Linked DNA regions of Neodiprion lecontei. The protein of the gene in region 2 interacts with the protein of the main gene of each other region in a pairwise test. Links are inferred from orthologs where the notes say so. Each region holds a gene or a part of one and is shown on either strand. Other genes may lie near its edges. The genes, in order: exocyst complex component 7 and vacuolar protein sorting-associated protein 51 homolog.

Region 1 (16,366 bases), about 16 Mb from region 2:
CCGATTGAAATAGCACTGCGACAACAACGGCATTCATACGACACCAGAGCAAAACACCTGGGAAAACTTGAAATCAGGAAATGCACACCAAACATGGACAACAAATGGAGGAGTACATTGCAAACAAAGCATGCAAAAGACTACCTTCAACAACGAAAAAAATTACGGTGTATTCCTTCAAGAAAACAATCACACCATGGATACTACAGGCAGGCAGAACACTGTACGAAGAGTTGACTAACACAAGTATATAGGCTACATATAACAAGAAACACTTGAACAATAACATGGTTTATCAAATCTAGCAAATGTGACATACAGTAGAATGTAGATACACATCACACACCACGCCTTGGACAATACACAATTGAACGTACAAACACCCTACAACCCTGCGCATGACAGGGACAAATCACACTAAAATACAGATGTAAATATACGAACCTAGATGAGGGTATAAAAATAAACTAAACTAAACTAAACTATACTAATAGCTTAATTTCTGCCAAAAAATTTTTTTTTCTACTTATTATACCACATGTTAAAACAGCTGAATGTCATGTAATATTTCAATTGCCAAAAGGGGGATGCTGATAATCAAGTTTAAAAGGTTTCTCATCAGTGTTAATGCCTGGTCGAGTGAGACATTACTTTGCATTTCTTCTCAGTGCCCTCTTTAAGTAACACGACGCTTTATTAAGGAAATTGTATCAAGATCTATCCCGAATTGTCTAATAGTTGTGAACATAATGCAATATGCTTTGCATATCAACAGTATGCTAGGAAATTTATAGCAACGTTATTTCAGTCTATGGTGATGCTGGGACATGTTCTACTGGCAAAATATTTCATGCTGGTCATTTTGCAGCAAACAATTAAATGTTTAAACATTCAATATTTCTACTAAAACTATTAGCGAAAAAAAAAAATACCATAAGATATACAAAGCAACTGGTTTAAGCTCGTTTTATACTAAGTTTAAATTAACTTAAAGCAGATGCAAGCTCTTGATGGATGCAGACTTTCAAAAATGTATCGATAGTACAGAGGCTTGTATCGAATCTATTATTAGTGGTTTTTGGAAGTATGTGAACAACAATGGGGGTGCTAATGACGTGCCAGGCTGTATGCACTTGTTTGACCGTGAGGCTGAGAAAGGGATTGACAAAGCTAAGTAGTTCGCAGAACATTTTTTCAGTGTGTATGATGTCAATATTACTCCCTGGTCTTATCCTAAATTTCTTTTAAGCAACAACCTATGCATGTTTGGCCTGCAGCTTAACTTTGTTGAAGTTAAACGCTGCATCGAGAACATTAAACCCAATTCTAGTGTTGGCCCTGATGGGATACATCCCTTCATTCCATCAATGACGAGATATTCCAGACTAGTTGAAAAGCGGAGTTTTTATCTCACCTTTATAAATCTGGTGATAAGAAGAATTTCGGCAATTACTGTCCCATTTCTAAACTGAACTTATTGGCTGAGGTATTCAGCGCAACAGTGGAGTCCAAACTCTCTCTATACCTAAGGACTCATGTCGTTCCTCGTCAACATAACTGTATACTCCAATCATATCGTAAAGGAATTAATTGAAAGAAGTCAGACAGATTCTGTCTGTACCGACATGGTTAAAGCCTTTGACAAGATAAACCACAAGTTGAAGCTCAGTAAGCTCAACATTTATAGCACTGGAGGCTCTTTGCTACATTGGATTGGGTCATACCTTACTAACAGGTCTCAAGAAGTCCAACTTAAAGGTTTCCTAATAAGTGAAATTCGTGTGCTATCACATGAACCCCAGGTGTCTCATCTAGGGCTACTATTATTTTTTACTTTTATTAATGATATTGGCCATGAGATATATCACTCTAATTTCTTACTGTTCACTGACAACCTCAAAATTAATGAAACTATCAATTCTCAATTCGATACTTTCTAACACCAGAATGATATTAGCAGCATCTCTCGATGGTCCCGGGATAATGCGCTTAGATTCAATCTTAAAAAGTGCTCGGTCATATCTTTTTCCAAGCTAGACGGGGTTAATGTAGATTATTTACTTAATGACATATTATTGACCTGTGTTAGTGTTGTTAAAGATCTTGAGGTACGTTGTGATGGTTGCCTTAATTTTGGCACCGACGTGCAAAATGTTAGGGATAAGGGTCTACAGAAGCTTTACTTCGTTGCAATGAAATCAAAGGATTTCAAGTGAACTAACCCTAGTTTGTCTTACGTTCACCTATGCGTTGAATATCTGGACACTGTATTTCGGCAAGTATAATGTTCTGTTTGAGCAGGTACACCGTAAGTTGTTGAGGCACCTAGCCTATAGACTGGGGAGACCTACGATCCTTATTAACCATCATTATGAGGAGATAACTAGGGCAGTCAATATCTGTATGCTTGAATCCTACTCATGTTACACCGATGCTATTTTGTTTTTTTGAAATCTTGATTGTGTTGAACTGATTGGTAGCTTCAACTTCTACATTTCACGTAGACTTTTCAGTGGGAATTACGACCAGTTCTGGGCTGCGACTTACCCTGGGGACTTTAGCTGTAGGTCAGTGATGGAGAAACTTAGTGTGTTGTCAAACAGAAACTATGAATGGCTTGAACTATTCGGCTGCACCATTTCATCCTTTAAAACTATTTGCAAGCACAAACTGCTGGATTTTGGCTGATTTTACTATTTTTAATTAGCATAATATGTTCTTATTACCATTCAGAGTTTGCTTCTATATAGTTATAATAATGTGAAGTATGAAATGGAGATTGTCGTGTGTATTGTGTTGCTCTACATAGTCATGAGAAATGTTAAATGGAGATTCTCATGTATGCTGTTTTATTGCAAATAGAATTCCCGTAGATAAATAAATTAGTAAAAATATTTAATCAGGAGTGAAAAATTGAAGGAGTTTTACCTACACATACCCAGAGGTTTTCTTGGAAGAACCTGCTCATTGCACATGCGATTGAACTTGCTTACTGTAAAACTACAACCATAACCTCTCACTTATTAAGAATGACCCAGTCATAGCGCCAGCATGATCCACTAAGCAGTAATCGTTCTGCCTACCATGCTAGTAAAATTTTTACAATGTCGATGAAAACTAAACAAGTTGCAATTGTCCAGCAGGTCCTTGCAAGGGAACCTCTCGGTGTAAGTGGTAGGTGACTGATCTTACAGGCATGGGACTAGTGGCATGAATACTCCCACCGCTGGCGCTCCTTTGATGTTCCTTGAGAAGTTGAAGCGACCTCAAAACAATTGCCGATCTAACAGATGCATAAATTTGTCCGTGTTTTCTGTAACCTCTTTCTTCAAGCCAGTTTGCTATTTTGATTAAATCGTCAAGGACCTCTTCTGGTAACTGGCACAATGATTGGTATGCTTCTTCACCACTACTAGCATCTTCATCTGATGTTATTAAATCGAGTAAAGCGATGGGCAGCACTGGTTTGCTCTGCCGTGCTAGAATATCTTTGAACTCGGCATATAGGGATTCCGAACCAAGTGTAAACATCGTCGAAACGTTCTCCAATTCAACAGAACTGGGATTATTTTTTTGGAAATATCGCTGTGCATTATGTAACCGGTTCATGGCATCAAGGAAGGCATCCAAACCACTGGAACTGGCAGGTCCACTGCGTATTGCCAATTCAACCTCTTGGCAAACCCCATAATAACCAATAGCATGGTCCAGTATTGATAAAGTTTTTTCTATGTCTGAAATAGAATGTATGAGTGAGAATGATTACTCAAAATCCTACTTTTATCTTGCGGCTACATTTTATTCTATGATTATAAAACTGATGCTTGTTTCGGATTTTTAATTGCTTATTTAACTTAAGAGCTAATTTGATGTACCGCAATAACTTTAGAGAAGTTGAGTCTGAAAAGTATGGGTATATTTAGCTTTGTTGAAGTTTGCCTAATTTAAGGCAGCTACATTGTTGTGAGTAGCAATTTTTCCTAAAAATCCTTGTTATAGTAGTTGCACACAAATAACACATCATGAATCTAGGCACCTCGGACAGTGGATTCATCATTTTTATTATCTGCCATTGATTTAAATAGCCACTAGTTGACGTGGTATATACTAGAGGAAATATAGTGTATCGACAACCTATACATATTGCCTATATGTAGATCAAAGGGCAATTTCTTATTCAGAGACGATCTTTTCTCTTCATGGACAGTTTTATAGTAACTTGTCCCATATTTAGGATCTTGACGAATTTTTTTAAGCATACCCCCCAAATCAATTTGAAATAATTAAAAAACAATTGCGTACTTTTTTCAGATTTTTATCTCAACTCTAACCCGTGCAAACAACAGGGTGGATTTTTTCGTTTAAAATACACGTGTTTCAGACACGTTCTCAGCATATATTTTACTATAAAAGTAATAGCGTTCAAAAAAGTCTGTAACTGGGAGGTTTTAGTAGTCATTAGTGCTACTATCTAAGAAAAAATTTATGTCATCATACCATGCAATTATGGTGGAGTTGTAAGTGGCGATACGGAATTTGAATATTCGCGGCCTTATTAGACCACTAAAATGTCATATGAGAGGAGACAGGTGACGCGGCGCCCAGTGGCGTTAATTGCCGATACGGTCACGGTACTCGCCCGGCCAGTGAAAGGGGGAAGATCTTCGGTGACAACGGGATCTCGCTCTCTTTCTCTCTGGGGACGTTAAATAGACCAGTTGGGTGATCATCCATAACAACCTGAGAAGGAGGAAGGGAGGGGAACGTGGACTGTATACCTTCGGCATATCCCAATCGATTCGACCACCTGACGACCCAAAATTTTAATTCTCCGCCAACTCACCACCCGAGAGTCCCCGGAATTTAAGGGAAAGTGCCAGCAATCAACAACGCACGTGAGACGAGACCGAGAAGATATTATTCATTTATTTTATTAAAGGAAAAATTAGACATCGGTTGATTGGATCCATATCCACAAAATTGAAAATTCTTTTAGTTTGTACAATCTCTTAGAGTCAAGCAATTTTATATACAATGACAAACATTACTGTCAAATATTAGGTTCAGCGATGGATTCGCTTATCTGCCCCAGTCTCATCAATATTGTTTTAGAATATCTTGAACAAAAAGTGATCGATCAACTACCTTTTAGTCTTCCTTTTTATTACAGATGCGTGGATGACATTATTACTTGTATACATAGAGAGTAGATATAATTCCTGCTAGACAAATTCAACAATTTCCACTCTTGAACACAATTCACTTGTGAAATCGAAGAATCAGCTTCCTCAACACTATGGTCATTAGCGTAAGCAATATTGTTAATCTAGATTAGTACAGAAAAAATACTTGCTGTCGGTGATATCTAAATTTTAATTCTCGATATTCAATGTTATACAAAACGTCTGTAGCTATAGGTTCATACGATCCGTGTATTTAAATTTCGGATCCTCTCTTTAGAATAAAGAATTTCAAAATAGTAGATGGCACACTTATGTGGAGAAGCGGCCAACCGTAACACCACAAATTTGTACTAGACTTTGCAGGATAAAAGAGTAATAAAAGTAAACGAACACGTATCTTAGCTTATTCGTAAACATTCGACCTTTTCCAAGAAACAATTAAAGATTTGACGCTGCTTCATGAGTCTGTTCGTCCGCATAGCATCGTGCTCAAGCAGATCGGTAGCGCAATTTGCTAGCATTACGGCTTCGAGTTTTTGCGCCTCGTGTTCACGTCCCGGCCAATTCTTTTATTTCATTTCTTCTTCTAAGTATGCTTCACAAATGTTCCTTATTTTATTCATAAATACGAGAGTGCTATATTTAAATTACAATTCATTATTCCGAAGCAATTGTCTGTTATTCCGAAATGGTCGTTGAAAGTAATTCCTCTAAAGTGTACTCCACTATGTCAACCTTGTAACGTATACTGCTACCGAAAAGTTAAAAATTATATCCTTCGACTGCAGAACTGCTCTTTTCTTACTGCACAGCAAAGGGATATCACAACTAGATATGACACGATAAGAATACACGCTTTGATTCGTAATCAATTGCAGGCGCCACCATATAAGAAAATGATTCGGTATGGATGGTTTGCCGCACAATTAACACCGGATCACGAAATTTTTAGCAGCGTCAATGACACTGCGTTTCCAGACAACATTTACACTGAGAAATTTGACTGAGGTAAAAGTGCCATCGAGCGTTGCTCGTGGTGTATAGAATTTTTATGTTCTGAATGTTTTTATGACAGTATCACCCTGAGGAATGCACCGGATGCTTTTGAGGTGTAATATTGTAACGATAAACACAATAATTAAGCTACTGGCTATTATACATTTGTGATTTCCAATTATTTTTACAACCTAATACCTTGCAGTATATTTCGGAATAACGGACAATTGCTTTTGAATGATGAATTGGAATTCCAATATAGCGCCCTTTTATTTATCAATAAAACAAGAAACATTCGTCAAACATTCTTTGGCGAAGATATGAAAAAAAAAAAATTGGTCAGGACTCAAACACGAGGCGGAAAAACTTAAAGCCGTAATGCTAACCACTGAGACACTATTCCAGTTGACAGCACGTGCAAGCGAACTCATGAAGCAGCATCAAAACTTCAACCGTTAGTTTCTCAGAAATGATCGAGAGTTTACGGATAAGCCAAAACACATCTCCATTTATATTTTACTCTTTCATTCTGCGAATTCGCGTGCAAATCAATGGGTTACAGTTGGCGGTCTCTCCTCGTTCAAACTAATGGTTATACTCTATCCTCAATTAAAACCAAAAAAAGATTTGAAAACATAAATTTTATAATAGCACTGAAAAAGAAGCCAATTACAATGAACATCAAAAATATGACGTCCATTCCTTATGTACCAGATTTGACACACAAAATTTTTAAACTCTTTGCACAAGAAGGTATTAACATCGCATACAAAATCTCTAATGACTCAAAGAGCCTTTTCTCTAAATTAAAATCAGAAACTTTGATTGTGGATCAAATCAACACCATATACAAAATAGATTGCAATAATTGCTTTTAAAGATGTATTGGGCAATCGTCACAACACCTAAAAAATGAAATCTCAGGTCACAAGTCTAATATCGAATCACGTGATCCCGATAAATGCGCTCTAGCTCATCACAGTTTACTAAAGGCCATATTTTGGATTTTGACAACGCTAAAATTATTTTAACATGTGAACGAAATTGGTACAAGAGAATTTTGTAAGAAATTATTTATATTTCTAAAAGCATTATTATTACACTTTTTCGCTCAAACATTAAGAAACTTTCTTGTTTATAAAGTTTTTGATAATAAACAAGAAATCGAAGATTCCTAAAATAATCTTTTTTGTGGAAAAGTAAATGAAAGAATGAAAGCATAAAGATGAATCAAAAGTTAGGAAAAAAAATCTACAGTAGCACTATTTGCGTCAATAATGGTGCACACAAATGGGACCACATCTCTACTATGGAATACAATGGCATCAGGACAAATTCGAATAATACAAGAAATCAACATCGTAAGGAAAGGTTTTACGATGAGTACGAAGTGCCTCTAATGGTTTAGGGCTTCTTTTGTTCAACATGGAAACCTGTGGAGATGGCGTAAGGTAAGGGTACACTCAACTCTTCAGGTAGATGACGTAATAGTGTTAGAGGGGCGGTAAAGCCTGCCCAAGAGCCTCTCCAAAGTTGCCTACTTTGGGGTCTGCTTGGATTTTTTTAAAACAAGAGTCGAATGATACTTTAGCATACCCTAATACTCAGGAAAAACTTCTAGCCTACGTGTACGAATGCTGCCAGAGATATGGGGGAACCAAGTTGTCAAATTTCTTTATACTTGGTAACACAGCCCCAGAATCAAAAATAAAAAATTTCAGATTTGAAAGAGCGACCATGACATTTTCATATAGTTTTTGTCGCACAGTCCAAATGTGATGTCAAAAATACATAAAAGAAATTATTTCTTGATTGAAAAGTACCTTAAAGCTTTATTTTTATGAGCAATTAGTATAGTATTTATACTTCTTACATAATAAAGCGTCGGAATGTGTGTATGAAGAAAAAAAAATTGGCATATTTATCAACTCTTATTACTTGCTTTTAGAATCCAACTATCTTATATGTTATACCATTGGATTCGTTCCTACAAAAATATATTTGTGTACAAATGTTATAACAGATATTTGTGCACATAAGACTTGTGCATTACAGCTTTACTGTAACGTGGTTATTTTAAAATTTTTAGAAATTTCTCAGGATCAGATGAGCAAGCAAAATGGCCCAATAACATTGGAATCAGATCGAACCTACGATGGTTCAAGCATTTTGAATGTATTAATTGTCAAACTTTTTCTTGGTTTAATATCTTAGCTTGTATTATTCGAATTTGTTCAGAATCATCTTCACTATCAGCAAAGTTGATTCTTAGCTTCGTTGTGTTATTGGTCGTATTCATCGTCAATCACACCAATGACATTGCTGGATACTTTCAAACATTATTTTTCACTTCACTGATCATTTACTTCATGTATCATGGTTTCGTTAATCCTTAAGGTTGGACATATTATACTAAGCCTCCATTTGAATTAATTGAAAAATGATTCGAATTGATTATGTGCCTGGAATTCCAATCAATTAAGTTCGATTGAAAACCAGTGTTGCCACTTTCTGGGATTCGATGATGAATGTTTTTAAACCGTAAATGTTACCTGGATAACTATTTGAAAGTATGATGTGTTAAAATTATGGCTAGGAGTATCATTGATATATGATTGTGACCTATAAACACTTCGATCAAGTTTGATCAATCGTAACTGCTGGTACAAGACAGATTAAAAGACGGAAAAATGCAGTGAAACGGAATATAGAAGAAAGAGTTAGAAGCTTTGTAGTTTAAGCAGTATCAATCAATCAAACTTGCTCGACGTGAACTTTATGACGAACAAATGCTAAATCCAATAATTAACAGTAAGTTTACAGTTTCGTTCTGTCAAGCAGGTAATAACAAATTTCTATCTAATCCTAAGAAATTATCATCGGAAACGTGATATTTGCAATTATTTCATTTTTCGAGCGAGGGTGATTGATCTGAACTTCAGGTACATTGTAGTTGGGATTTTGTTGAATCAAAGAACTCACCGCCGAGCACTTACAGTAAAAAGAATCCCTAAGCTAATATATTACTCTTTGCGCGTAAAATTGTTTTGTAAGATTTACCATGCTGTTGATGTTGAAGATTTCCAGTCTCCGTATAGACTGGTAAAATGGTACGTTGGAGCGTAGCAAGGCGCTGCTCCAAGGATGACAAAATTCCAACAATACCGCCAGTAACACGTTTACTGTGATCAATCTCCGCCTTCAATGCAGCCAAGCCAGTAGCCTCGGCTTCTAATTTGCATTCGATTTCAAACCTGTGTTCCGACGTGTCGAGCATGATTTGAAATGTAAAGAATAACTAGTTGTCACAAACCCAATTGACAATCTTCCGTGGACGCTGGTGGACAATAAAAAATTTGGAACCCAAAGTGTTCGTCGCGTACACTTGACACTCCTTATTTTTCCGTTTGATTATTCTTCCGGAGAGGACGTGCCAGTTGCCACCAGTTTGCCACTGAAGTAGGGGTATATCTCTATTTCAGTGGGATTTGCCAACACTTGACACTGTTCGACATGACGTCAGAGCGGTAGTTCCCGCAAATTTCAGAAGTTAGCCAGTGGAGTTCGTTATCGAAAATATAGGTAGACGTATAGTTGGTGGTTTTGGTTCGCCAAATACCGATTAAACATTAAACTGCACTAAGTATCTCAGGTTAATCACTTATTTCAAATAACTGGGATTAATCCCTAAAAGGATATGAATAATCATGACCACTTACGATTTTGGAATGTTGAACTCCGCTGCGTTGACTGAAGATATTCCTATAAAGATTGATAGCCATATGGGACTTTGCGTAATCGAAAATTGACGAGTAAATTCTTTATCAAGCGGCGCTCTCTGCATCCTTTCTTGCACGCGCAACTCAATCCGGCAAGTGGTCGGTATGGGGTGCTTTCCATTTACTGACTCAAATCGAGTTGTGTCGCTATTTCTGGTGTAACCGGCCAATCTGGACAAAGGAATACACCAAAATTAGCGACACAAGTCGACTTGAGTCAGTAAATGGAAAGCACCCATGTAGAGGCAACAAGGACTGATGGTACTACCGCTCACCGCGTGTTCCCAGACAATGCGGTGTCGAATATCATTATGGATATGGTACATAGGCATATAAATAGACCGCGGGAGTAACGGAGGTGGCCCGTTTGTGAATGCGAGAGCGCAGTAGAAAGAGAAAGCTGCATGTGGGACCCCTCTATCCTTGTCTAATCGCGCATGCGCGCTCAGCGTTCTTTAAGTAAGAATGAAATAGAAAATGACTGGAGGGATGGATGTTCTTATATATTGTACATGAAACATAAATGAGAAGTTATAATTTGAAAATAGGAATAATACTAATAAAACATTACAATTAAATAATTGAATATTGAATCGTAAAATGCTGATCATCATTTTTATTAGGTAACAAGCATGAATAATGCACACAAGTACGTACTGTATAGTCATATACTGTAATAAAACATTGAATATTATTATACTTGGAACAATACGTGAAAAAAATATTATATTTTCGTAATATATAGAAATATTATTTTACAAGAAATTTATAAGCATATCTTGCACGAATATCCTTTTTGGCTCATTTGACTTTGATTATCAAATACTTATAAATAATTTGCAAATATTTAAAAAAATTATTGTCCTTTAAAATTCGTTAGCTTATTGTTCTGCATGCGTATTCTTTGGCTTTGACCTCGTAGAAGTTGACCTCGCAGTATGACGGGGTCCGCGCATGCGCGACTATGCGAAGACAGAGTGGTCGTATATGCAACTTTCTCTTTCTATTCCGCTATCGACTTCTCTGTGACGTCGGAACGGTACCTGGTGGAAATATCCAGATGTGAGACACTGGAATCGTTCCCACCGCTACAGCTAGACTTACATCAGTAGTTCGGGTCACCAATTACCGATAAAGTATTGAAATACACCAGACAACGGGCATTCTGTCGCTCTAATTGAACGAACTGAGAAAGGACTAATTGTTGGATGAAAGATTTAATTAATTCGCTTACCTTTCGAGAATAATCTGGATATGATGACTTGCAGCGTAGATTGGTGAGAGGATTTAACGGAATGACTGATTTTAATATATTTAGATACTTTGATTAACTTGGATTTATTTTATAAGTTTAATATTTCGAGTCACAAACAACGGGGTTACTTAGTGTAAGATCTTAAATTAATACGACAAAATGGAGCTGAAAGCTCGCTGGATGTTCGGGCAGAGTAACGTTGTAGGAAAAGTTTAAATGCAAAAGGCAAAAGGATTTTACCGCGAGACTGTACCGGAACAAGATGACGAATCTGGTGGTAGAAACCAAGAGGACGATCAGATGATCGGTCGCCGTTTTTATAGGTGTCGATCGTTGCGCAGAACGATCCCCTTCTTTAGCTTTTGTCAACTTTTGCGCACCTTCCCCCTTTTTCTAGGAATTAGAATTAGGGCACGATATCTTCCCCGCATGTATGCCTGTGATCTTAGTTCTTTAGCTCTTACTATATTGCAAGCTTTTACATATGGTATAACGCTGCGTTGGTGCGGTGGTGTAAGTGTAGGGTCGTTACGCTTTAATTTTCCATTCTGCGTGGGCTTTGGTGTTGGGGCAGCAAGCCCCCCTTGGCTTCTCGGCTACCGTGCTTCATCTCCCCTGTGGGCGGTAGGACCCGGGCCGATTTTAGCAGCTATTTCATAATATGGTAATCGCAGTGCGTATGCGCTAGAGGTGACCCATGTTTCGTGGTGTACGTTAGTGCCGTGTGCATTTTCGGGGTCACGATCCACTGGATTCTAGTCGTAGTTTACTTCTTAGATATTCTCACTATCCTGTTCGTTACAAAGTCTATATATTAAGATTGCCATATCGGTTACTTGTCGTTTTGTTAGTTTTATAGCGTGTAAATATGTAAAATTGCATATGTATTTTAATTGATCACTGTCGTTATTCACCTGGAGTAAAAAAGCGATTGTTTATGAGACATAGTTGCTATTTGCTTAACATTATTAGGATCACGCTGCTGCGAATACTCTTGGGTGTTTGTGTTATAACTATCTTAACAGTTTTAGGGTATTTGAAAATTTGATAATTCGTAGTTTTAGAGCAGGTTTACATGTGTGCTTTCGCATATAATTCTCTTCTGTAATTACTAATTCTCATATTGATATTGTAACGTTCCTGGACGTTATGAAAATAAATATGGATTCGTGATTTGATTATCAAATGAAAATCAAAGGCGTAAATAATTGTTGTGAAAAAGCTTCAATTGCAGGGTACGTGTTTCTGGTTTTAAGTCTGAAACGAGACTATTTTTACAATAATGTTGGTTGACGCAGCAACCTTATTCTTTTGAAAGACATAAGAGGTTGATAAACGTCTTTTATCTATGATGACTACTAGATCATTAAAAGGGGGCAAAACGGGTGATTTCACCCTTTGTAACAATATAAATCGGCTTCGAAGCTACTAGAACTTGTTCTTATGTTTGTTGGTTGCCTATTACTGGGCGTTGCCACGTATGCATCTTTGAGTTTATTGCGAGTTGATTTACCTTCAATCGTTTCGTCGTTAAGTTTCCGAATGTGTTCTCTAGATGGAGCTATGTATGGCTCCGTATTGGAGATCTGCATTGCCTTCAAAACGCTGCGCGTGTTGCCTACTATACGGCGTCACGGAGGAAAGTATGATTCATGCTGGATAATTGGTATTCACGATTTTGATGGTTTTGCAGTTTCTGGTTTTATGGATTATTGCAGCAGTACACCTATCTTTACATTATTTCGGTTAAAAACGTATCTATGGTTTTACAGTCTTTTATACTCCAGGCTATATGGTATAGCGTAAGTTGCTTATAGTAGTGGTTTTCCAACTACGACACAGAGCGACACAGTGCGACACAGTGTACGCCGTCGGGTGTTCCAACTACTACACGATGTCTCACGGAGTCGCTCTTATCCGAGTCTCAAAAAAGTTGTGTTTAACCGTGCAATGAATATCAGCGTTGCCAACGCTGTAGTTCTGTAACCAAAAAGAAACTGGAAAAAAGAGAATTTTAACGTTGTCAGCATTAGTCTGCATGATTGCATAAATGTAGAAAGTAATAAAGCCGGTCGTACCGTACAATGATCACACTCTTTAATTTAAAAAAATAATTTGAACGAACGTTTGTTACTTTTATCAATATTATGTACAATTTATAACATGCGTTTTAGTACTCAAACTCGGAGGATACATATCTGTCAAATGCCTAGTTATTTTCCCACTCCGTTCTTGGAACATGCACGCACTCTCCCGTTCAATTTGAACACTACAGCGTTCCAACAACAGCCCAGTATACAATTTACACGGAACGACACAGAACGACACAGAGTGCGATAGTTGGAAAACCCCTAGTGTAGCTCTCAGCTCAGAATGCACAAATGGCATTGTCGAGTGTTATATAATAATTGGATATAATGGTGTTAGTTAATTATGGTGTTAATATGATAGTGGTATATAATAACGTATAATAATATTATAGCTCTTTGTAGTGCGAAGGTCTCGTAATATGAGGTTTGTTCGGCTAGCTACACTCTGCACTCGTGAGTGTAAAACGAACTAGGGTAGTGTACTAGGGATTGCTGGGGAGTGTACGTCGGCTTCTCGAGTGTAGCTAAGATAGCGCGAACGCAATAGTGTAGAAGGTGCAGAAAAGTGGGGACAAGAAAATGGCGCACGTTACGTACAGTCGTTTTTTTCCTCGAAACACTTATTAATACAACAAATTAGTATATAAGATAAAGCATTTTGGAATTTGTTAACGAAATCTTTCATACCTTATGTTTTAAGTACACCGTTATCAAATTGAACGTCGTTTTTCAAGTAAAATACTGTACTACTTTGTTCTGATTTGTAGTGAGGTTATGGGTTTGCTGTCACTCGTGAGTTTTAAGGTATATATCGCATCACAGTTCACTAACGTAGTGGAAAAACCTGTAGCATTCATGCGGCTTGAACCATTTACACTTTTTACACTTCTTACACTTGGTCTAGACATAGTGCAAAAAGTGTACACAAAGTGTATATAATATGCACTGCTTAAGCACGAATGAAAATTGAAAAATTGAAAAAAAAGTGTACACAAAGTGTATATAATATGCACTGCTTAAGCACGAATGAAAATTGAAAAAACTGAATATACACGTGCACGTTGTATGCAGTGATGGCGGCAACTTGGCGGCATATGTGGTTGCATGTGGTCACATATGATAACTTTATATATTATATAGAGGTAGGCTACTGCCGCGGATTTTAAAACCGACAAGTCACATACATAATGGATTAGAGTTGTAAAATGATTAATAAAAAAAAATGGGTGCGTGTACTTATGTACGCGCGTGAGAAGTTATACTTCTTTGTCATCATTAAAAAATACACAACATGTCAAAATCTTCTGTCACACAATGATAAAGAAAAGAAGTATGTAAAAAAAACAATAAAACAAATAACGGATGTCTTACATTATATTTAAATAATCTATTAAATTTTTGTCACGAACTTTTTATTAAATGTTCTATTAAATTTATTTCTTTATTTTGTAAATTTTAAAAAACCAATAATAAATATTCAACATTGATAATTTAATAATATTTAGTATTAATTATATTAAATAATGATATTTTAATTTATATCAATAAATAATACATACGGATAACTAACCTCAATTATATTGGAGCACTTGAAAAAGTATTTTAGCACAATTTTTTCACTAATATTCACAAATAGTAAATAATATTAATCCAAATATTCAATTTAAATCACTACTGAATATATTTTATTGCCACATATATAATTCGCACTTGTATGAAAATAAAACACGTGTTGTGACTGTAAAAACTAAAACCATGTGGATAAATATTTAGCTTTTTTTCGAGATTTAATGAATTCGGTTGAGTGGGCAACTTCATCCTGTTAATTTTGTGTTACAGTTTTGTGTTACAGTGATGCGCGCGCATCCTGAAATTTCACTCTCATCAGTTTTTCATAACGCGCCTAAAGAAGTATAACTTCAAAAATTAATACATTGACCATAAAATTTCATTTTGTAATGAGAATTTTTTCCAGTGAACAAATAAATTAACTCAATGATTAATAAAAATTTTTCAGATTACAAAAATAAATTCAACGGTTAATGGAAACTTTTTCAAATGAAAAATTATAATAAAATCATAATGTTTAATATGCAACTTTTTCCCATGAAAAAAAATTGAAATAAATGTTCAGTGAAATTATAAAATGCTATAATGCCTTGAAAAATTTAATGCTATCTAAAAATGCTCATGCCATGCGGCGCATCTCGAAGTGAAACGTCAAACGTTACGTGCATGCCATGTGTTTATCACTCTATACGCGATGAGATCACGGCGTGCGAGTCATGTGTCACGCATTACGCTCGCACTATGTGACTATCACGGCGTGCGGGTTACGTGCGACGCACGATTGTTATCTGGGTAACGAAAGTCTAGAGACATTTGTGAAACGAGCAGCGTCATTCGACGTCACGTCCGCTAAAACGAACGCGCAAGTGTACACTCCCCACGAAAGTGTAGAAAGTGTATCTAGCACGAACAAACCTATGGTTTTGAAGCTTTGGTTAGTGAATGTCATAGTTGTTTCCATCTAGGGATATTCCAAATAGTTAGACAGTTGTTTTAACACCTTACGGTTATAAGATTTTCGTACTTCGAGTTTGGTTAGTTGATAAAAGTGACATGCAGTAATAATAGTCGATAAAACATACGGACGTTCCGGTCGGATGTTACACCTTGTTCCTCATTTCACGTTTCATAGACTTTCCTCGACAGAACAAAGAGCCTTATTGGCCTCCTTCTTTCAAGGCAGGTCTCGAGTTGCCTTAAGGAAACCTTCGGCACTGCGATTGGCTGTATCGTTTCATGTAGCCAATGCTTGCGTCTATGCACTTATGACCCGTATGACGCAGAGATCACAGCCAGTCTACCTCTTTGAGGTTATACACTCTCATCAACCGATGCAACTTGACAATGAGAGCCAAGCGGTTTAAGTTAGATTTAAATATAGCCGAGTGGCGCTTCGATCAGCAATTTTACCACCATAAGCAATCACATATCCCTAAATATGTCTTCTTTCTGGAAGGGAGAGCTAAGTTGCGACTATAAAACAAGGACGCCTCG
Region 2 (17,822 bases):
AAAAAGTGTAATAAATGCACAATAAATCAGAATTGTCCAGCAGTATTAAAGGTGGGGTAAAATGAATATTATTGTCTCTAAAGAAAAATGAAAACACGCCTTATCTGGAAATAAATAATTCTCCACATGACGTTTCAGTCGCGTTAAATTAAATTGGCTACAGTTTAGTATGCATATGTGTAACATCGTCGCCTTCGACATCGTCGTCGTCTTCGTCGTTGTATACATATACGTATAAATATATGTGTATGCGCTGAAACAAAGCTGGTTATGTATATCTTACCGTGCACCTTCCATCCGCAACGTCATGCAATGATTTACAGTGATATTATTTCTTTGCTTTCCTTTTCTTTTCTTTCACCTTCCAATATGTATAACATGCGATCGGAATTGTGCTTCGCACGTACGCTGTGTGGATTTTAAATTACGTAACATGTACAGTATTCTACATAATGCTAAAACGATTTATAGGTTTATGATGATAATTAATTATACGGACACGCTGATCATTCCGTACACAAAATATACCGTCTTACAGGTAAAGATATACGTATGTACAAAAAAAAAAAAAAATAATAACTCGATAATTTGTCATGGCGTTAATCGAAGTCCAATATTCAAACGCGTTTGGATGAAAAAAGAAAATGTAGTAAAATATGGGCACAACTTTACCCAGCGACGAATATCGCCGATGATAAAATTTTCATTGATGATAACGAAGGAAACACTTGTTGGATCCGATTATTATACAGTTGTTCAAATTGTAGAGCTTATGTAGTGCGTAACGTTTGAATTGAAACTAATAAACGATTGGTTGTCTTACCTCGATCCACGACACTGTTATACACTATACTCACTGCGGCAATTAAAGTTATACTGAAATCTGAACGTGAACTTTTGATCCTGCCGGGCTCACGGGTGACGTGGAGGGCGGGGGGGCGGGAGGGAGGGAGGGAGCGGTTGATTTTGAATGAATCGACGGCTGGTCGATCGGCCAATTATCATTTCTACCTGTAGGGCGATTGGTCGAAACCACGTTGCGGAACCGATTCTCGAACATCGAGCAATACAACGCCGCGTAAAATCCGTAGTTATGTTGTACGCGAATTTTTTCCCCAATATTTTCTCTACTTTCAAAAACTCGTTCCACCGTCCTAGGAACAATATGATTACGAAAAATTTAACGTCACGTAGGTAGGTATATATTTCATCGAGAATCCCGGACTTTCTCGCGCGTTCTCGGCTTACTAAAGACTGCGGCGAATCGCGTTCCTCGCAAGCTGCCTCTGTCCGGGTGGGTGTTTTCTGTATGAGTAATGAACCGTAGGTGTACGCGTGTCTGTGTATGCGAGGGTAAAAGGAGGGGGGAGAGAGATGCGCGTAACGCGAGAGAAGATGCTCGACTGAGTGATAAACGAGCCTTGATTGGCTTAATATAGTACGGCGGTCAGAGTAATTGGTCGCTCCCTTACCGTGCGGGAAATGATTGGTCAATTTAATCCTAGGACGACCGTGCATTAGGCATTCAGCCGACGTACAACTCCCTAATAATCACCAAGTTTGTTCTTCTTCTTTTCCCTGTTCTTCTCCTCGTGCTTCGTCGCCTCTTAGTTCTTAACCCATCCCCCCCTTCCTCGTCCCAACCCTCGCAGTTTTCGCTAAATTTTTTTTCATTCCCCCTCATTTTACAAATTTCTTTTATACTTCGCGAATCGCACTCCTCTTCGTCTCTCCTTCCTCCTTCCTCTCTCACCAAATCAATTTATCAATTGAAATCACTGCATGTCGGTGACCCGTGCTGAATGAACCTCACTTGTATTGTGGCTATAACTTGTACCTCGTATGCTTGTACGTGTTCGTATAACGAAGAACATGTAACGGGGTGGTCGGTTGAGCTGCGGCACATTTTTCCAATCCTTCGTACTTGTAACAATAGTCGGAGAAATTTCTTTTCGTTCTTTTCTTTCCTTTTTTTTTTTCTCGGTGAGACGGAGAGAAAGAATATTGGAAGACAAGTTACCTGCTTATTGCATGTTTATACTTGAGAAGGAATTGGACCAAAGTAACGTCACTTGCCACAATCTTTCAAATCGCGTGACGCGATTCATTCAAAGTTTATGTACCTACATGTAACACCGATCAAGCTAAAAATCTTTCGATTATAATACCGCGGAAAAAGACTTGAGAATATTTTTTTATATCGTAAAATCGAGAGAAGGCATAATATGCTTGAACATTAACTAAGATTTATGAGGCGTGCTGAACTAGCTTTAAAGAACGAAGAACTTTCTCGCAGTTGAAGATCCCTGGACCAATCGAATATCTCGGCTATGAGTCGAACTCTTCTAAATGCGGATAAAGTACGAACCGAGGATCGCACTATAACATCTAACCATCGTTATCCGTAGATTTTCACTATATACGGGTGTTAAAAAAAAAAAAAAATGCTCTTCGCACTTTTCTTCCACTTTTTCCCCCTCGATTATAAAAACCACATTATACCTACTGTACTTGTATTATTATACGCTGTATTCCAAATCCGTTGCAGTTCGGGCGCAACAGCGTGGAAAGTAATCGTACCCAGGTGAAATTCAAGCTCAAGTCACCTACGGCACTACTACTTAGCACGCGGATGCACTCGGAGGAGTTGACGAATATTTGAAGGTTCCGATCTTCCGCAGGAGTTTAAGCCTCGGTCCCTCCTTGACTACTTGTGAGCGGGCTCGATGGAAATACGTCCGAATTTATATAGCATGCATCCAGTGTGAACGGCACAGATACATACGTACACTCTGTGTAAAGTTTGGAAAAGTTTGGAGCATTTGGAGTATTGCAAGCATAAGTAGATTACGCCCGCTTGCACAGCGTACGTGCGTATATATGCTTAAGGAAAACTAATCACCCAACTACGTTTGCCCCGCGTCTGCTGTGTATTTTCTATGTCAGTCCAGCAGACGTTAGTCATCGAAACTGACCACTGACCACTGACCGTTGACCCTCTGACCGCGGGGGTTGCATAGTTCGCCACCTAACGCGGTACTGGCAACTGTTTATTACAATGCGCTAAATGAACGACGATGGTTTCGGTAGGTACCTATTCTCCGAAATCTGATGTATAAAACGCGGTGTGGTATGTGTTTGGAATTCGTATCTCTAGCGTCGATATAGTGGTTAAGACGGTCCGAGCTGCGAACACAACAACGAGCACGGATTCAAAACTGCCCATTATTGCGGTCACAAAGCGAAACGCCTCCAATTACATGATTTTCTTCCATTCGATTATGCTGGACATAGGGAATCCCATGTATAATAGTATATTGTGTAACAAGGAGACAAACTCGGTATTTTAGGGCCGAGCGTAAGTTTGCAATACGAGTCGTATGCTCGTGTTCTATAAAATCAATTTCACCACGTACGACGAATACAACAATTGTAGATCTTGTAATAGTTCGTACGTATTAACGTTTAGAAAAAGAATGTCGCAGCAGGTCGACTTAAATTTTCGGGTTAAATTAACCATTTTAAAAGTACAATTTGCAAATTAAATATTTACTCGATGATTCAAGTATTAATATTACAAAAATTAATCTCATAATATTCGCTTGCAGAACTAGACCTGCTGGGACATTGTGTTTAGTTAAATTTTTCCAACGGCACACGTTAATTATCGAGAAAAATAATACGATCAGTGTGTACAGAAGATACCGCGGGCTGAATGCGACAACGATGAATCATGCAGGCTGTATCCAGGGACAAATAAATTGGCAAACAACGGATACTCTGTGTTCGCTGGAAGGGCCATTGTCGGCTTCTTGGTTCAAGCAAGGACCCCTGAACATAGGATATGAAACTGGGAACGAAATGTTTAACACACGAGTCGTGGGTCGGGTGATTAATCCTCCCGTAATGCAGATTCCTTCGTCACGTATACCGACGATACGCGCCCCTATGCTTCCTTTTCATCGCGAGGCGTCGGTCGGTGCAGTGCCACTTACACTGTTGCATGATGGAAATGGCCTGGAAGTAGCGCCGAGGGCTTTTTTACCGCCGCACGACAGGGTCGCCCAACAACTCCGGCGCAACGGTGTAACCCCCGTGACTTTCTTCTCTTCCCATGCGGGTTGACTGTAAGCTGATTTAAACTTACCCGTGTACTTACGACCCTCTGGCAGCACGGGGCCGTTCCAACGACGCCACTAACGCTTCGGATGACGACGATCGTTAATATGAATATCCTTTTTAAAAGCGGCGTTGTCGAGTTACGATATTATACCCTCTCTGTTGTTTCTATTCGTTTGGATACATCGCTTTTCGAATCGTGACGATGAATAGCGGTTTCCGCTGCAGATCATCCTCACCGCTCTTACCCGTTTATCTATTTTTCACTTCAAATTTATACCAACTTTGCGCGTAACAAATAGTTATTTCCATTCAGATTTGTTGAACAAATCTTTGATTCTCACGGATCTAGACATATCTATACTATACCTGCGAGTAGGTACATGTATATATATATATATACATATATATACATATATACATATATATACAGGTATATGTATAACTATATATACATATATTGCTTGTATAATAACACACGAACAGACATGGTTAATAATATATAACGTGTAGGCCCGCTGATTGTATCATGCATACGACACACGGTTGTTAGTGGGCGTTTATTTGCTGTAGAAATTCTTCTCACCATATTCGCCACGTTATCAAATTCGTACAGATATTATATCCTTGGTGCATGACGAACCCCTACGGCAAAAGGGGATTTAACATTCTTCGACGTATTTCCATATCAAACATTTCCAATGTCAAACAATTTAACTCGGTTAGATCCGTACGAGCTTTCGCAAATGATGGTTACCAAGAACAAAAGAGAGAGAGAAAAAAAAAACAACAACCCATAAAGTGTATAAAAATATTTCACAAACCTGGTTTATTGTAACAGAACTCAGCGGCAAGACTCACCTGCGTATCGTAACTCTGTCGAAGAGAACAAATCAGTATAAAGTGTCGAATAGAATGCGGATGTTGTACAGTAATTATGATATTGAAATCAGATAACAATTTCTGCGACTTCTTCTCAAATACACTTGGATTGTCTTTTTAACGTGGCAGTAGTCTAAGGTCGAGTGGACGTTTGCTTGCCATCGGGGAATTCATTCTCCCTAATGTACACACGAGACCCAGATGCACAGGTGTTTTTTGAGGTCACGTGTGCCGTTCGTGTGCTCTCAATGATGCGCTATGCGACGTAATACCCAATGATGAAATATCGCGTACATCTCCGACACTCCCGTTTATGCCTGAAATTTTTCACCAACTTCTCGCGCATTTTTTCGCCATCTTATGCAGGATTTCAGGATATTGGATCGTCGTAATTTCTTCGCGTGACCAATTATTGTTGGCTAGCTCATCACCCTTCTATGCAGTTATACGTTACAGGCACGAGAAGGCGATCGACGTACGCGAGAAAAGCCGACTTTTTCTTTACACCCTGTATGCAAGTCGGGCGTGTTTCAATGCGTATACGTATACGCGTGTTAGGTCGCATGTGTGCGTTGCAGTGCGACGAGCTGAGTGGCGTTAATTTGGACTTCCTCCCCGTGGATGAGATTCATTCCCCGGGTATCCGGCGCAGACCCACACACCGCATTTTGACCAATTTAACGTCTACCTACCCAACCTGAATTTATATGAACACAACGGCGTATGTTCAATACGTGTTCGAGTACGTACATACAAACACGATCATCGTATGCAACTTACCGTCCGCATCGTGATTGCGATCATACGTCTGGGGGTAGAAAATTTATGTGCTACTCGAAGAGAGTATATATAATGTAGGTGTATAAATATTCATTGATAACGAATTTCTTTTTGTACTTATTTGCATCGTACCTATTTAAACGATATGGCAAAATCAGAACTGACGAACTTGCGTCGAGTTTTTTTATCGTCTGATATCGATGGTTGCCTATAAGTTACACATACACCGAAAATGGTCCAATGTCAGTTTATCAAGGGATTAAGAGAGTTGCTTTCTTTATATCTACCGCCTGCAACTATAACATACGCCTACGTGTATGGGTATATATGTGTACGTATGCACGAAATGGATGACCGAGGGAGATCGGGAGCATTCAGCGAGTATAAGTACCCATTCAGCAATTCCTGGCCACCCACCTACACGCGTGCATAACGTACGTACTTGTATGGTGGTGTCAAACGTGAACAAATGTAATTCAGATGTCATGGTGTCACTGGATGCGGTCGAGCAGCGCTCTTTTTCCTCTTGCTGCCTCTTACAAACCCGCGGCTATAATGTAAACCCATTACCAAAGAGTTGCTGTCCAGGGGTTAAATGATCTTAATCGGTCTTAACTTCTTCTTGCCGCATACCTCCGTCGTTATTTCGAACTCGTGCCCCCCGCCCTTCTCCTTTCTATTCGGCACCTTTTTTTTTTTTCTTTCTTCCAATAATATCAAGCGCCAAATAACCTCAGTACTTGTATTACAAGAAGAGGCATATTTTTTGTATTTCAAATGATTTTTTTTATTATATGTACATATCTGTAATATAATTTCACCGACTTTACAAACATTAGCGTAATCAGTGTCCACGATAATGTATACACTGTAGTTATTTGCATATGTAATGTTATAATTGCTCTGTATAAATTAATAATTGTATAACTTCTCACTTTGTATGCGCTACATATAAATAACAGTATAACTACACGTAGGTATATTGTTATCGGAATTAGGAAGTCCTTCAACCCCGTTCGCAAATAATGTCTACGACACTGGGCTCCATTAACACAGGCTCCAAACATCTGTGAACCGCGCTTCCTAATATTTCATCAAGAAGAAAATGTACAAGGCTGTGAAAAAAGAATAAAATTTCGTCAGAGAATTATCTGATGAAAAACCGGGTGGAGATGATTGAACAAATTTATAGTTGGATTAAGAATTCCGGGCTTTCAACGTGCTCCTTACATCGGTATTTACTTTTTTCCTCTTTTAATTCCACACAAATTGGAAATCAGAAAACTGTTGTACTTTAGCCAGACTTATTGCGGTTATCAAATAATAAATATTTGAACTCACTTTTCGTCGGAAACGAACCGCCACAAGTAAAGCTGGAGATAGTGGGTATCTACTTGTATTTGTTGTAGGCCGTACTTGCTGAACGTGCGCAATCTGACGCATTCCAAAAATGTCTGAAATCAATACGAAACGATCAATAAAATATTTGGTTTTTCTGACAATCAGACCGACGAAAATGTGGAGAGGTACAATAGAGAGATGCACTCCTCAAAGCGTAGAATACATGAATTTGATCACTGCGGTCTTGTTATTAGAGTAATGCTTATTACACCATGGATTGCATAGTTTTTTTTTTTTTTTTTTATATGCACAGAGAAGCTACCGTAATACCTCGACAACGCAAAGTGGATAATAGCTAAGTTATTTTGTCATTGTGCTCATTCTGCACAAGCTGCAACCATTAATGTATGTACCATATCTACTAGAAGTTATATCATACTCCGGTATATCTTCACGCATTACGTCACAATGTAAGATTGGAGCTGTGATTATTTTTAGGAAAATTTTTTCTCTCAATTAGCGGGACAGATTGGATAGAGATTGAGAGGGATTGAAAAGTGGTTTATCGTGGTTGAAAAGACTCAGTGTCTTACTGAGAATGCTTAGATACCTTTAAGCTGATCTTTATAATTCCAGTCAGAATCGAAGCTTTGTTGAACTGAACCGAAGAGAATATCTCTATACGTTCTGAAAACAATTTGTGAATATTTGTCACCAGAGATGAATCTAGATGACTTGGCGTGTAGGAGGACCAATTTGATCGATATTGATGCCTTGATACACTGACGCTGAAATAAGCATTAATAGTTAATGATTTCGTAACAATTGCACCTACTAATTTTATTATGAATTCTCTAACCTCTTGTGTTTACTTTTCTAGACTCAGTACCGTACCTATGCGTCCTTCTGCTACTATCGCTGCTCCTATCAATTTGGCCGTCTGAATCATCATACAAGGCGGAAACTTGCAGCTCGATTGCCGTCACGTCCTCGACTACTCTCTTCATCACAGCCCTGACAGTTCTGGGTTCAATGGTATGTAGCCAATCTCGTGTCTCCACTGACTTTCTCAACATTTGTGAAACAGATAATCCCTGAAGTCGCACGTAATGATTTAGTAAATTTTGAGCTGCTGTTTGAAAGTTGTTACAGATTTCACTTTCTGACGTTACAAAATTTGCCAAAGATGCATGCCTTTGAATGTTGAAGAGATCGTCTGTTGTGGTTAACTGTAATTGAAAAATACATTATAATAGATCCTGAACTTATTATCTTTTTTTTACAATCAGTATTCTTTACTTATTCGAAATATTTGGTTCCAAAACTTGCCAGATAATGTACGCTAGATTCTTTAAATTCGATGCACATTTTGCTCAGCAATAATAGTAATGTGGGGGGAAATTTAGGCACGTCAGATCCGGAACAGAATCCGCTAGCTGTGGCAGTTAGATGATGTAAAAATCCAATCACTAATCCCTCTCTAACTTCGTCAACGCAAAAGCATTGGAGGAAATGAGATTTTCCACTGAACATTAATTCAGGCTGCAGGAATACCTGCAAGTAACATTAATTCGGTCATGAAAATTTTGGTCGAATAGGCGAAAGAGTACAAATACGTTTTATTGTGAACAAAACATACATACCAATAAATCCTGCAGGACTCCTTTCACTTTTTCTATCGTAGGCATGACCAGAGAGGCCTGTAACTCTGCAAGACCTGTGTCACCATCTTGACTAACTTTAGCAGCCAGCGTTTGCCTTACTTTAGCCAAAGCCTCAGTCAGATGCTGCTTCAAAGAGTGTAAATGGCTTCTGCACTGCTTTCTTCCAGCATTTATGACAATTTCTGTTGCAGTCCTACACATCAGGCGTCAATATAAATCGGAAATCGATTTTTAATCAATGTCTATAGAAAATCTAATAAATTTTTTAACATACGTGGAAAAATCGGTCTCATTGCAGAGAGTATTGACTGCGTGTAAGCGTCTGTAAAACCTGTCTAGCGCGCGAACTAAGATTGCAGTATCCCCAACATCCTCAATTCTTTTACCAATGAGATCAAAGTAGTTCTTCATGTTATTCAGAACAAAAGTGTCTAATTTCGCAATGGCTTTAGAGTCAAAGTCGTCACTGAACTCTGTGTCGTCCAGGGGTATTCTGTTGACAAACATGTCTTTATAGGAAGCGACAATGAGGCAAAGGTCGCTCATAAAACCCGAACTTCCCATATCCACGAATTCTATAACGTCATTTTCGCACATGTCCTTGAGTTGTTTCAACTGTTCGGTCAGCCTATTTTCGGCATTACTTAAGAATTCCGCGCACAATGATTCGGGTGGCTCTTTGAGCTGGAGCAAAAGATCGACACTCTCAGCCAGAGACTTTGTGGTCGCATCTCTGCTCTGGAACTGAGTTCTCAGTTTAACTTTGAGCTCCTCGACTATTTCTTCACAGTCCTTCTGTATACCTTGAAAAGAAGGCATGTTTCCATACTGGTTCAGGACACGTTGAGCATGAATGTAGTCTTGGACAGCCTGAAAAATTATACAAACTTGGTTGAATTTCACTGCACAAAGAGTAAATCGTGTATCCGTTTTCCTTATTCCTCCTTTTCTTCCTTACTCACCTGGGAGTAGTTTCCATTGTTCATCTTATCTTTCAATTTAGCTGGCAGCTTAAATAGAAATTGTAGCTTCTTGAGAAGAGTGTGCACGGACGATAGTCTCGTTATCTGTTGCCTTGTGCCTTGCAAAGTTGAAGATATCTGTTCCGAAAATGACGTGATACTGTCCATGTTGCTGGACAGCGATTCCATGCTATCCTCCATTTTCTTGAAATCATTCTTCATCTGAAATCAATATGTCGATAAGAATTTTGCCAGTTCTCACATGTTTTGAAAACACTCACCTTTCTTATGGTATCGGTAGCAGAAATGAATTTGTTGTAATTTTCATATACCAAAGTCTGCATGTCAGAATGAAGCGTCTGGGTATCGCGAATTATTTCAGCTTCATTGTCCATGATCTGTTTCAGTGTGCACTCCTGCATTTGGTATAAAAGACAAAATTTTTTAGATTGCGAAACCTCGAAGTAGGTAGAATAATCGTGGCTAATAAAACCGATATTTTTCACTACGATTTTGATTGAATTTTAGGTTATGAGAATAAGTTAGAGCCGCCTAACCTTGAGCATTTTTTCCAGATACATGTCGGGGTTGAAATGCTGCCCGTTTATGTTGTACGGATTGCTCGTATTTTCTGTCATTTTTCTAAACGTGAAAGAACATTCACTTTGATACACCGAAGTGTCAAAATCTCCACAGATATTTCGTGTTGTGACAGCTGCGTCCCCGCGTTTCCATTACACGTTTCCGTTGCTCCGATGTCTCGATTCGTCGGACTCAAATCCGAGCCTCTGTTCCATTTGCGCATGCGTGACTAGCCAAAGATAACAGCGGTTCTCTTTTGCACCTAGTCGTGATTGGCTGAAGCAGCGCTCTCGGCCAATCACGGCGCAGAGCGAGAGTGACAGAGTGTATCAGAATAGCCCTTATCAAGTCGCGCATGCGCGTACTCGAATGTTATCTCCATGTGTATAAAGCCACTCGATGTTGCGTGATTATATCGAGTTCGCTAATTTCTCGCTGGGCGTCGTACGACGCTTTATTATTATGACGACTTTATAACCTCCTCGATGCGATTACGCTGTCGAAAAGTGGTACGATTCAGTATTAATAATGACAGTTTCATAGCGTTTCAGTCAATCCGAGTGAGTTTCGAATGATACAGTGCGCGAGCTGATCCTCCGGGAGTGAAGTAAACGGACGTTGGAAGTTTAAAATTTCCCCTACGATGCCGCACCCGTGTGTAGTTTGCGGCAGATCGCGGATGAATCCGAACAACAGGCAGGAGGAGTACATGTTCTTCGGTTTCCCGGTAAACGACGAGACCAGGTGCAAAAAGTGGTTGGAATTCTGCTGTCGCGAGGACCTCTACAAGCTGACGAAAAAACAGCTGCTCCAACGAATGGTATGCTCGAAACACTTCGAACAGAGAGACTTCCTCAACTCGTATTTCGACCGTCTCAACTGCACCGCCATACCATCGATATACGACCCGAAACAGTCCCTCTACAATATCACCTGTGTTCTGTGCGGTAGATCCCGTCGAGACCCCCCCAGTTCTACTTATGACGGGGTCACTTTCCACCACTTTCCCGGCGAGGAATTCAGGTGTCTAAAATGGCTGGATTTTGTTGGGGTTGATTCTTATTACAGGCTCACCCGCAAGGAGATATTGTTCTGCTACATTTGCTCCAAGCACTTTGACCGCTCCCAGTTCCTCAAGGGATACCGTAATCGGTTGGTCGACCATGCCGTTCCCAACATCAGATATCCCGACGAAGCCGAGGACTCTGAGCCGTTCCTGATAGACCTCGCTCCCGAGTCAAAGCTTTTCCATCATCCGGACAGGACTCGGAAGCTGGAAGCCCTTCCACAAGCCGTGTTGGAGAGTCAGGCTTGCGCCGCCTGTGGAAGATCAAGGTCTGATCCGAGAAATAAAATCGATAGGTATAAGTTTCACCCGTTTCCAGCTTATGAGATCGGGCGATGTTTGAGGTGGTGCCAATTCCTGGGTAGAGAGGATTTACTCAAAATGTCTCCAAACCAAATCAGGAAGCTAGTCTTATGCTCAAAGCACTTTCAGAGTGGGCAGAGCTTCCATCGAGTCGGACCTTGCGATGCGGTGCCGACGATCCGAGATATCCATGAACCAAATACAGCTGTTAATGTTGAAGATGACTTTGAAGAAGCGGAAGAGGAAGAATGTGCTGGCTCTGCCAAGGGCACCAAGAAGCAGTCTAAAATCAGGCCCATGGTATCCAGCAAGAAGCCTAAAATAGACAACAAACCTGCTCCGCTTGCCAAGAAACGTGGTAAATCGAAGAGGCCCACTCAGATAAACATCCCCAGACCAGATCCTAATAATATAGAAAACAGGATGATTAGAAAACTACCGCTGCCGCCGAACAATAATTGGAAACTCATTCAGGCCGGAACTATGCAACCGATTACGATAGCTAACAACATAGCAACATCTGTAAACGAATGCAAAAAAATGATTCTTCCATTTACAGGCGACATAACTAATCTGGGTACTCCCATTCCCGTTCATAGCTTGTCGAGCATGCCTCCCGGCTTATTGATCAAGATAAACCTACCGGATCAAAACAAAAAGCCAAGCCCATCTGGGCGTCGCAAGGGGGTTCGCAAGGGGAATAGCAAGAAACAGAAATCGTCAACCATTACTACACTGAACAATATCCAATTAGTTCAGTGCACTCCGTTGAGCGTTAAGAATGATCAAAATCAGTCTGGTAAGGAAGCGGATGAATCGGTTGAGCATACCCTGGCGGATTTATTGACCTTCTCACCGGAGCGCGAGGAAACGGTCGACTATGAAGAACTCGGAGTACAGGAGGAAATTGTCCTTTCACCCAGTGCAGAAACCACCGAAGAACAGACGTTTAAATTCGAACAAACCGACCTTAAGGATGATTACTACTATGAGGTTGAGGAGACTACAGACACTGGGTACGTTCAGAAACCAAGAGTCAGGCAACGTAGAAAGTTATCTTCGCTCGCTAGGAAAACTATTCTTCCTATAAAGAGCGAGATTGGATTTTTCCTCCGCAAATTTGCACCTAAAATGCAAAGGCTACCAAAAAAGGCTAGGGCTCAGTTGAAATTATCTATCGTTAATATGGTCATTGATAATCTATAAGATTTATCTGATTGTTGAAAAACGGACACTTGTGCTACAGAAAGTGATAAAATTTTGCTAGCAAAAACTTTCTTGAGTTATAAATTATCTAGTTGTAAGTTGTATAATTGTCTGATAATATCAAACCGTTTGTATAATGAACGATGCGATACTAATTAAATACAAAATTTCAATTATTGCTCGATTGTAAATAATTAGTTTTAGTAAGTTTAATGTTGATGGAATTATGCAATTGCGAAATACGCAAAAAAAAAAATACGAACCGGTGGCAAACGGTTTGTTACACTGTCGTTTAATATCAAAAACTAAATCAACTTTACTTTTGTAATATTGATAGATCATGTTAATATTTGTGCAAAGCTGATTGGTAGCTTAAAGTATTTTTGTAAGTAGAAAAGGAAAGTGAAGAATTTGAACCGCGTGATTTTTAGGTTTGACGTTTTATCCTTCAACTTCTCTGCATCCTCTGAATATTATTTAGATAAAGGATATATTTCCTTTCTTTTTTTTATAATATATGCTTACTGATTATACGAGCTCTTCGAAGGACTATTCGGATTACAGGTAAATTCGCTACATCCAAATGTAAATATTTCTATCTTATTCATAGCCTCGATCATTCGATCGTGTCAGTTGACACATTTTTTTTATCTTACTACTTCGGTACTTTTGGACACGCTTTTCAAAGATCTTTAGACATATGAAAAATACCCGGAGTAAATGTATAAAGATATCTATACCAGTTTTGGAGCAAAAATGGGTATACTATGTAATTTGTAAAAAGTATAGTAATAAATATTGTTCTATACGTCACTTTAATTATAGCTCACGATTTATAAAATACACAACGGGCTGAATGTTACAATCAAATAGGATTCCTGGTGCTCAGGGAAAATGAAAAATTTTCTAGAAAACAATTTCAAAACATTGCCTTCATTTAATATAATTACTTGCTTGCCCCTTGACAATATCGGGAGGATAATATGTGTCAGTAGTGTATCATACAAGTTCAACTCGTATATCTACATTATATAATCTATTTGTACAAGCAGTTAAAGAGATACTTTCATTCCCGGAAAAACTAATGGGTAAGTGAAAAGTCTGGCATTTTCAGGAAGTCTTTTATTTCCCTGCCGCTAGACATCCTGCCAAAATTTTACCAAAAGCAATCTAAGGCTACCACTATTCAGCTTGAAAATTATTCTTAGTCCAAAGATTTAGTTTCTCATTTTTGATTTTTGCAAGTACGATAAATGAGTCAGAAAAGTTTATAATGTACCCATCCTGGCAATAAATCAGAAATATTTTTACAATAATATTTTGATGTGTATAAATTACCGCACAATTTGAACATTTACTTTTGAAAGTATTATTCGAAGACTAGAATTGTGTGTGTAATGAATAAGGAAGAAACTACATGCCTATATATTGATTGGTTACCCTGCTTTCTGTAAGATCAATATCTCTTCCATGAAACTTTTCAGCCAAAACTTCAATCTACTCCTTCTTGTAGTTTTATTATTTCCATTATCAGTTCCATGTAAGTATGTATCTTTTCGAGGAATATAGGAATAACTATGCAGGAGCAGTTCATGTATTTGATAAAAACAGAGATCCTTGCTACGAAGCAGATGCTGAGTGAGTTGTCAAGTACTTGAGTGAGAATTTTATTCACCAAGGCACAAAACCATTAATTTTTTTTTTTGATATGTTGACAGTGCAACCCTCAATACAACAGAAACCAATTGGGATAGTTTGGAAACAATTCCACATACAAGTACAGATAAGGAAGAAATAATTTCCTACAATCAGGCCCTTGAATATTTCAAAGAGACTGACTTATCGGAGTACAATGTAGTATATTTACGCACAGTTCATTATCACGATTCACGCTCAACTTCCTGCAACTAGATGTACCAGAGTATGAAGAAAGTATCTTTTTTTAGGAAAATGTGACGAGCGCTAAGAAATCAGGGATATTTTCGTGTTTTTCAAACCGTGGAAAATCCAAACTGAAACAAGATCACATCAGTGATTTTAACTTGATATTTCTCATTGCAAAGTGTAAGTACTCGATCGAAAAAAACTTATCGTAAGATTTTCAAATATAATAACAATCACACATCATAATTTTGGCTACAAAAATATACTGGTTCCGAGTCAATACGGTGGGCATCCTGTCGAGGCTGTAAATGCCTCAGCCCACTGCGTAGAACAGCAGGCTGGTCTGCCCCAGTGTGTTTCCAACTCGTCAGTCATTTCCACAGAGGTTTTGTGCGACCCAACATCCCATCGAATGTCTTTGCGTTTCACAACTCTGCCTCGGTGAGGAAGCATACATGTTAGTGTAGTTGTAACGGCGCTTTGGGAGTTCAGGTGTGATTGATGAAGATGACATTCGTTAGGCCTGATGTATCTGTGATATTAGAGTTACGGTACTTTGAATATTCCAATTAAATTGCATAGCGATTTTATATCGATACTCTCTACGTCATGACTCTTGAATCATTTTTTCACTGACTTGGGTGAAACGACGTCAGGTCTGACTGGAATCCATCGCTTTTCAACATCCCTTTTGTCGGTTGTTTCTGGTCCAACTGCTCTGCAGTAATATACTACAGGTTCGTTGTTTTCGCGAAACTTTTCAGTCTTTCTTGGAATCCATATAACGCTTCCTGAAGCTACGGGTTCTAAGCACGATCGCACTTTGTGAAAATTTTGATACCAGCTGTGTAATATAAAATTATGACGACCCAAGAATAGTTTATTCGTAGTTCGGCTCACCGATATCTAATTTAGGTAATACCGGCAACAGCGTGCCTACCGTGTAGCTTTGAAATTTATCTACTATACTCCCATATTCTCCGCATCTACACAGAATACCCAAAGGATGCTCCGTACAGACGCTACTTGCAGGATGCTTATAGTCCATGTCCTTTGCAGTGAATTTTCCATAAAATGGTTCTTCATACCAGCTGTCTAATTTCTCTAAGGGGAATCAAGTCATTGCCAAGTAGAACAATAGTCGAAACAGCAGAATTTCTAATTCCTAATATCAATTCTGTCTACAAGGTCGTTGATAATTGTAAAATCGAAATTTTACTAATTTTTCAGGTCCTTACCAGAAGGAAAACAAAATTCATATTGCAATGCTGAGAACAGTGTACAATTCTTTAGTATCAAGCAGAGACTCGGAATTCATTTGGGAAAATATTGGTTTCCAGGTAAACTACGTCGATCGTCGGACTTCTGACGCGATTTGTTCGTTCTGGAATATTACAGGCGTCGCAAGACTAGCATATTAATTAAACTAATTTGTCATAGAGTGATTTGCCATGGACTGATTTACGTGGCGTAGGAATGCTAGGAGTATTGCAATTACTGTACATGTGCACAACATATCCAATTATCAGGGATACGCTCTATGAATTATCGAGAACCAAATCAAATACATTTCCATTCGCTGTTCTTAGTCTAAATGTTACAAGCATTGTGTTGAATGTATTGAGACGGGAAAAGTTAAATCGGTAAGTTAATTCAGAGATTAGAATCATTTAGAATTTACTAGAGTTCGAAAATTAGGAACCACTATACATTGCACATTTGATATTTTAATATTCATATCAATTTCTCTATTCCTCTCTGTAATTTACATATTTTTAGGGAGATAAATAAGGAGGGTGTCTTTGTTTGCATCAACAAACTTTACACATCAATGTTTCATTACTTTGGACAAGTCTGGATCGATGAGAAAAAAACTATATCCGATGTTGGGAGTTTGTTGAAAGGTGGTGGAAATATTATCAGCTTAATTTGCGGCGTTACGTTTCGGTAATTGATGAATTTAACTTCAGATGTGGAGCAGTTGTGCCTTTTTAAACGGGGAAGAAAAAAAATCTTCAAAAACTTCAACGTATCAGTTGAACGGAAATAAATGATCAAGAACTTATAGAACAGCTTACACAATAAATGATGGCCCAGTGAAGTTTGTTAACAGCAAATTTATTCGTAATTAATTTTCACTATACATATATAAGGCCAGGTTACATACGCGTAATTTGTATTATACACATATACAAATGTGCTCAATAGATTTGTGTTTGAAAACGTTATAAATGTAACATAATATTACGTGTGAGTAATCGAAGCATCGTATTTTGATGTTAAAACATAAAAATTCAGTTGACAGTGAGAATGAGTTGACAGTAAAATGAGGTGAATGTGATTCAAAAAGCATATGTAACTTCGATCTTAGAGATCAACACGAATGAAATTTAATACAGCGTAAAATGTCCCAACAACATTCATATTCATAATCATAGATTTGGTAAGGACTAAGTATCAAGTACTTCGAAAAATGATTTATTTTGCTAGATTAATGCAATTACTCTACACTACGTATATTGTTTAGTTTTTCTTCTTTTGCATGAATGTATGCTTAATTATCATGCTAAGAACACTTTTACCCGAATTAGTACGCAACTGTGCACGTTATGTACTATCTCACCCGTTATTCGTAATTTCCGACACGATCAAATAATTGCAAATCGTGATGCAGCTTAATATAGAAAAGTAGAATAAATATTTGGTCTGAATATGAATTTATTCATGAAATTTACTATGCAGATATACTTGTAGTATTACCGGCTGTACTTTGAGTTAGGTGCCTTACATAAGCGCTGCAAGTGTAATTCATTTTATCATCCAATTCTCGATGAAAATTTCTCATTAGCCTAATAGCTGCTTCAAAATTTCATTCCTGTTCCAAATTAGTCACTACGATCAGAGAACTAATACTAAAGAGGTTCCTTTTTGAGAATTTGATCTGGATACTAGTGAAATTAATGCAAATATCAAATTCATAGAATTCGTATATTCCGTTACAAAATTATACGCTATGTGACAGAATATGTAGCA

What was found.
Region 1: the proteins of vacuolar protein sorting-associated protein 51 homolog (region 2) and exocyst complex component 7 interact in a two-hybrid assay, tested with the Drosophila melanogaster proteins (2 studies listed by BioGRID). The link is inferred for Neodiprion lecontei from reciprocal best matches to the Drosophila melanogaster genes Vps51 and Exo70.

Annotation. Positions count from the first base shown.
Region 1 is NC_060262.1:16,399,873-16,416,238, reverse strand, and holds the start of exocyst complex component 7, read right to left. Parts: upstream 9,625-16,366; 5' UTR 9,457-9,624; coding exon 9,240-9,456; intron 3,735-9,239; coding exon 3,193-3,734; intron 1-3,192. UniProt on the Drosophila melanogaster protein: Required for exocytosis. Thought to function in intracellular vesicle targeting and docking before SNARE complex formation.
Region 2 is NC_060262.1:412,502-430,323, forward strand, and holds vacuolar protein sorting-associated protein 51 homolog, read right to left. Parts: upstream 10,516-17,822; 5' UTR 10,387-10,515; coding exon 10,306-10,386; intron 10,165-10,305; coding exon 10,030-10,164; intron 9,971-10,029; coding exon 9,749-9,970; intron 9,657-9,748; coding exon 9,061-9,656; intron 8,980-9,060; coding exon 8,766-8,979; intron 8,677-8,765; coding exon 8,452-8,676; intron 8,352-8,451; coding exon 8,017-8,351; exon of another isoform or gene 8,003-8,016; intron 7,911-8,002; coding exon 7,733-7,910; intron 7,236-7,732; coding exon 7,123-7,235; intron 6,897-7,122; coding exon 6,788-6,896; 3' UTR 6,569-6,787; downstream 1-6,568. Other genes in the region: uncharacterized protein LOC107220091, read left to right, coding at 10,974-12,905. UniProt on the Drosophila melanogaster protein: May act as a component of the GARP complex that is involved in retrograde transport from early and late endosomes to the trans-Golgi network (TGN).